2 linked regions of the Caenorhabditis elegans genome follow. The protein of the gene in region 2 purifies or fractionates together with the protein of the main gene of each other region. This does not show direct contact. Each region holds a gene or a part of one and is shown on either strand. Other genes may lie near its edges.

Region 1 (3,758 bases), on a different chromosome or scaffold from region 2:
CCTGTCGACATAGCATTCACTATAGTATTCGTAATCATATCTTGTCTCATATGCTTCACAATATCCAATGGTGCAGCCATTGTCTTCATCAACGCATTGTCTGCAATTCTTTTCAGTTCAGAGTTGAATCTTTTGAATACATCCTCAAACAGCAACGAAAGCAATGATCCAGCGAGCTCCAAACGTTTATTTCCGTAGAAATCCCGATCATCAAGCCCATTTTCTCCGAGTTCCGTTTGAATCAGTCGTCTTGTCATTAATCCCAAATAAATCGCCTTCATTTTGAAATTTCCATCTGGGCAAGCAATATGTGTGATCATTGAATTGGACAGAAAATCGACTGCTTCGTGTTCTTTCGGTGGAGTCAAGACGCTCACTGAAGTTCCTGGAAGTGATCCGAATGGTGTGAATTTACGAGCCTTGACTTTTGAGGTAACATATGCGAGTGCCTGCTGTTGGGTATAAACTCCGGCATTTATGGATTCTTCGAGAGTTTGAGCAAATGCTGAAACGTACTTCTCCTCGTGACCGATTGTACTCACAATGTCAAAATCTGATTCGACTCCCATCGCCTGGAAAATTGAAACTTTGAAAAGGAAGCGGTTTTTAGTTTTTGTTTTAACATAATGCTACACTTTTTTTAAAATTTTCCCTATTTTTTGTAATAATTTTCTTGAATTAAAAAAAGCGAACTCGAATTTTGGAAAAAAAAATCTGAAAAACTCCAGATTCGATAATAAATGTTTTTGAGGAATTTCGATTGAAAATATCGTAAAATGTTCAGTTTCTCACAATCAGAAAGAAAGAAAGCTTCATTATTTTTTATTCTAAAACATTTTTTGAGAATATTTTTTGCATCAAAATTTGGAAAAATATTTTTCGGAGAATGTTTTTGTATTGGATGTTTTTTTTTTTAAATAAAATATTTAGGAATGAATGCCGAACATTTTTTTTTTCAGTTGTCATCAAAATTCTCAAAATTTACCTTGAAAATGATGGAAACTGGTACATCATCGGTGAGCTGATTGTGGCGAACAGAATATTTACCCTTCTTCATAGTCACATATGTCTTACTTTTCCTCTCGGACGTCGACGAAAGTACTTCACACTGCAGTTCTTTACTTGAATTTCTTCCAACCATAATACGATTTTTGGAGAGTTGTTCTTGAATCAGGATAACCTTTTCACTTCCTTTGACCACAAAATAACCTCCTGGATCATATGGGCATTCTTGAACTCTTGCAAGCTCTTCTTCGGCAAGATCTCTGAGAATACATTTACTCGAACGAAGCATAATCGGCATTCGACCAATGATCAGATCCTTCTTGAATACTCTTTGATTACCACGTGTGTACTCAATATCCACTGAAATTGGCGCCGAGTAGGTCATATCTCGTAGTCGACATTCTTGAGGGGTAATCTTATCGTGAGTCATGTTGAGACCCTCCTCACTGCTGGGTTTTCCGATTCGAATATCCAAATATTTGAGATAAAAGTTTGGATTTGCATCGGAAGTGATCTTCTGATTGGAGAGCATGATACTTCGGATCTCCTCCTGCACGAAATGATCGAAACTGACGAGATGCTGTTTGACGAGTCCTCGAACTTTCAAAAACGCGGGAACGAGAAGCCATTTGTCCTCGAGTGGCATGCATTTCTGATCCTTGCCGCACTCGGATTTTATGCGAGCGCGGCCGTTCACTTGGCCAATTGTCATCTGAAAATTGGTATTGAAAATCTGAAATTCTAGAATAAAAATTATTTGAAAAAGAGGTACAAAAACAGAAAATAACAGTTTGCAATAGAAATCTGGAAATAAAATTCAAAAACAAAAAAAAACTTTATATTCATACGGCGAATAGCTGAAAAAGGCACGGAAATTATTTGTACACCCGGAAAAATTAAATTATAGCTAGACATTTTTCTAAAAATAAATACATAAGGGGTTCCTATTAAAATGGTAAAAATTATGGGGGAAAATCAACATTTTGGGTGAAAAGATAGGAAAACGAGGAAATCCGATAAAAATTATGGGTTTCCCTGATTTTTTAGCTTTCCATTAAAAATTCAATTTTCCGCTAATTCTGGCCTCTACAATTTTAAATCAGAATTATTTGGCAATGGCGAGAAATAGTTATCGACGACAGAATCCTTCACATCAGCCAACGTCGCTGGATTCCACTTTGGCTTGCGATCCTTGTCAACGAGAACTGAAAAATGAGTCAAATTTTCAATGAAACCCTACAAAATCTCTGCTCACTGGCTCGGCACCCTTCATGGAAATCCTTATCGGCGAGGAATCGTTGAGTGAGACGATACTCCATTGTGAAGATCTTTGCATAGCTCATCTTGCTTCCTTCGGTGATTTGTCGGTGAGTTACTTTCAGGGAAGTTGGGCTCATTTTTCCTAGAGTGGCTGCTTGCTTCTTTGCCCAGTCGGATCCGTCTTTTTCGAGGCTTGCGAGGATTTCTTCGACGCTTCTGAAAAATCAATTATTTTATATATCTTAGGCAAATGTAATTTTTTGTGTGCTATCGAATCCTCAAAACTGGCCCTTTCCTAGTTTTTGCTTAAAACTAATATTATCTGAGAAACAATAATAAATCAATTCGATGAAATGCTACTTTTTAATTTGTTCCAACTCAAATACACGTGATCTTGGTGACAAAATATCTTACTTTGCTTTGAAGGAATCTCTAATTTGAGCCAAATTCTTGGACAGACTGAATTCTGGAATCTTCTTTGGCTCGAACGATCTGATGACTTCATCGACAGAGTTCTCTGTCACATCCTTAATATTCACAAGTTCCTTTTCCAATTTCGCAAGTTCCGAAGACTCCACAAAATGAGTGGCAAGACCAGCATGGAAAGCGTCAGCACCTAGAAGACGATATCCAGTGAGTGCCAAGTACATTCCGAGGTTTCCCTTGAGCCTTGAAAGGAAATAGGATCCACCGACGTCTGGGAAGAGTCCAAGTGCGGTTTCTGGCATTGCTAGCATTGTTTTCTCAGTGGCAACTCGGAAACGTCCATTTACAGAAAGACCACAACCCTGAAACAAGTTTTTTAAAAAATTGAAAAGAAAATAGTTGCAGATAACTTACTCCTCCCATCACAATTCCATCAATCAGACAAACGTATTGCTTATTCAAAGTTCCAATTAAATGATTTAAAATGTACTCCTCGCGGAAGAAATCCTTGTGCATTGTGCACTCTTTTCCACTCTCCGAATCTTTGAAAGATCGCACAACGGCAAGAACATCTCCTCCAGCACAGAACGCCTTATCACCGGATCCTTTCAAAATGACAAGATCCACATCGGAAGATGAATTCCAGGCTTGAAGTTTGGGATAAAACTCTCGTACCATTTCGAGGTTCAACGCGTTTAGCGCTTTAGGCCTATTCAATGTAACCACCTTCTTCGATCCGTGTGTGTCGACAAGGATTTCCGACTTGGCGGCGGCGCTCACGGAGAACGACATCTTCTGGCAGACTTCCTGGAAATTTCTGAGTTTAGAACAGAAAATTTGATAGAAAAATAAAATGTTAGTCAAAATTTGTGAAAAATGAAACCTTCGAATGAAGTCCGCGGAAGAGTGCGGGCAAGTTTCGGACAGTGGCAGCCATGTCTCTGAAAATTGGCTTAATAAAATGAAGAATAGTTTACGAAAACGAGAAAAGTGGTCTTGTTCCGCGAGGTTATAAAGGGAAAACATCACTGATCACAAAAAGAAGCTTGCACTTTGAGCACAAAACA
Region 2 (3,127 bases):
ATTTCTCTTTCTTGGCGCATACTCGATATGTCGATTTACGGTAGGCTACCGTGAAATGAACTTTGGGCAAAATATGGAAGAAATGCTTGATTAAATTATTTATTCACATTTGAAAATAGAAAATGGTGTCAGAGATGTTTTTAGAAGCACTTGATAGTTATTAAAACTCAAGTAGAAGAATCCATGGCCGTATCCGTACTCGATGAGGATTGAGTCGGCATCGGAATGCTTGGACAAGATGGAATGATTACATTGTCAAAATCAGAAGAGCACGCTGTGAAGGATGTCGGATATTTTTGTGTTTCGAGTTGCGATATCAAGCTGGTTCCACGGAAGACTGGCAGTGGGACGTTGTTCGAATGGTACTGTTGACTACTGGTGGGCGCAGCTGAGCTTTTAAGCATAAGGTTACGAGTTTTTTCGCTCATGTTTCTGAAACCATTCTGAAATTAAAATATCAGGCCGCCTTTGGAAGTACTTGTATAAATCATGAGACAAACATAATGATTGGATAATCGATCTTTGCAAGCTATCTTTATATTTATTTTGCAAGACGAAAAAATAACAACTTATTCAACAATAACAAAAAGTAAAAACAGTGTACCCGTTATAATCAATTAAAATTTGATTAAACTGGCTCTTCTTTAATTTTAACAGGCTGTCTAACTTCTTCTTGAGGCTGTCTAATTTCTTCTTTGGGCTGTATAACTTCTTCTTGTTCATCTTGCTCGTCTTCAACCGCTTCATCATCTTCATCTTCTGCTGCCCACCATCCAATACATCCCAATCCAGTACTAGCCATCGTACCTTTGATTTCCATAGATTTCTCTGTTTTTCTCTCTTCGTGTGTTAACTCTGGTTTGAGATCTCTGCAAACAAATCAATATTTTAATTTCGATGAAATACAAAATGTCTCACTTGAAAATGATTTCCGTCACTCGGAATCTCACAATCTTCCCTGGATCCATATACAGTTTTGCTGGTGGTTCTCCATCTTCCTGTGCATATTCCCAATACCAAACTTGCCCTTCTTCTTCGAAAACATGAGGTTCTGGAAGCTTTTCCGCCGGTACAAAAATGTCTTCGAAGAATTGAATTGTTAGACAAAGACCTTGTCGTGATGAACCAATCACTTTGGCCTCAATAACTTCATCGACAAATGGCCGAAAAACGATCATACGGAACTGAAGATTTATTTCATTTCTCAAATACGACTGTACATTGATTTATTACCTTAACTCTCGCTCTACAATCTCCTTCGCCGGGTAAAATGTACGAATCACCAATTTCATTTATATCATAGACACAAATACAGAGACCAAGATCCGGAATAATTTTGTTGGCGAGACGTTCATTGAGCCGTTTTTTGATAACAATTTGCTGATCAGAGCTCAATTGATGAGGCTGAATAGCCACCGTATCGTGCAGTAGAGAAAGAATGAACATACTGTAAATATTAAACATTTTCCTTTTATACGGCATCAGTATCAGCAGATATTGAATGGAAGCTTGAACTATATTCTCAGAACCAAATATAATGAAATAAAAATAATAAAAAAGAAAATTTATAAGTAATTGTTTAAAAAAGTACGATGGGATTGCTACTTATAAATTAGACCACACAATGTCAGACATTGGATAGATTAACAAAAATTATTCTTCAACAAAAAATCAAACAACAAGATATTTTTCATAAATTTTCCTAGCGGCGAAATTGTTTCCTGATGTTCGGTAGATTAAAGCCAGGTTGTGAGCAGCCATCTTTCTCAGGTCATATCTGAAATTTTAATAGTATTTCTACAGACAGAAATTTCTAATTTATTTTTAAAATTGTCTTACTTCATTGCTGGAATAATAACCTCATTGCCATCTTCATCAAAATCAAACACACACGGCGGATCAACCTCCAATACTTTATCATAAAAATGTTTGGCGAGAGGGAGAATCGACATTTGATGGAACATTCTGGCAATGTTATAAAAGACTTCTTGTTGGCAAGCCCGTGCTTTTGAATACTTCTTCATAAAAGCAATTCCTCGGATTCCGATGAGGTGTCTACTTGAGAGATCCTTCTTACAAGACATATGAGTGAAAGTGAGAGCAAGCAGCATACAGATGAGTGGATTTCGTTTATTGGCTACCCATACTCGAAGATACTCTCCCATTGCATGTCGGTATGTTCCCGTGATAAGTGAATTATTGCCTGAAATCGCTTGAAGAGCATGATTATCTTTAGCTTTGACGAGTGCTCTCATGATAAATCGATGGTAGCAGACATTCTGAGAGTTGACGAATACGTAGTTCATTGCATTGAAAAGGCGTTTTTGGAGAACGTCAGAGAATGAGCCATTTTGAGGATCGCTGACTGCCTGGAAATTTAAATTACTTAAATGCGTCCAATAAGATACAAATTGTTACCAAAGAAAAAGTGTGAAAGAATCTAACATATTCAAATGCCAAATTCCAACATCTTGCTTTGATTGCACAAAAATATACTAAATTCTGGAAAGTGGAGATTCTGAAAATTTTGTAATGTGTGGAAAATTTTGAACAAATTAGCTCACTTGTCGGCTTTGAAAAGAGTTGGATGTAAAAATGCATAACAACAGACAATGAGTGCGTCTTGATGTTTCTCCATTTTATTTAAACATTCGATTAACTTCAAACAGTAGTCATGTATCTGAAAATTAAAAATTTACACAATCAAATGTATGCTCGAATAATGATTACATCTGTTCCCGAAAGCGATGTTTGAAAAGTCCCATTGGCTTCTACAGTTGCTCCCAGCCTTTTGACAAGGCGTTCCCAATTTGTATGTTTAACAACTCCAAAAGCACAAGTTTTCAAAGTATTACTGAGAGCAGGTGCTGGAAATTCGTATTGAAGACAATTAAAATGTTATTTCACTTACTAGTCGTTTTTCCTTTGGTAACCCGTCGTTTCTTCAAAATATCTGGAGAAATATAGACTTTGTAGAAGTGGGGAGCCAGCATCATTCTCGTGATCCTTACAAACTGCTCAGAATCTCCTGCTTCGAATAAAACGTCTGCTCGACGAGCAAGAAGACGTTCATCTGGCATCGATGAGCAGTTTTCCAGGTCATAATTTTCCAAGGTTTCGAGGGCTT

What was found.
Region 1: the proteins of rpc-25 (region 2) and rpc-2 fractionate together in Caenorhabditis elegans (co-fractionation; one large-scale study listed by BioGRID). This does not show direct contact.

Annotation. Positions count from the first base shown.
Region 1 is NC_003281.10:5,555,324-5,559,081, reverse strand, and holds the start of rpc-2 (DNA-directed RNA polymerase subunit beta), read right to left. Parts: upstream 1,718-3,758; coding exon 986-1,717; intron 573-985; coding exon 1-572. Other genes in the region: hach-1 (3-hydroxyisobutyryl-CoA hydrolase, mitochondrial), read right to left, coding at 2,092-2,210, 2,261-2,481, 2,680-3,053, 3,106-3,498, 3,575-3,628.
Region 2 is NC_003283.11:10,205,156-10,208,282, forward strand, and holds rpc-25 (DNA-directed RNA polymerase III subunit RPC8), read right to left. Parts: upstream 1,448-3,127; 5' UTR 1,447-1,447; coding exon 1,234-1,446; intron 1,185-1,233; coding exon 919-1,184; intron 870-918; coding exon 629-869; 3' UTR 525-628; downstream 1-524. Other genes in the region: ZK856.16 (Ovule protein), read right to left, coding at 168-428; tftc-3 (TPR_REGION domain-containing protein), read right to left, coding at 1,672-1,777, 1,840-2,369, 2,419-2,518, 2,565-2,680, 2,731-2,867, 2,912-3,127.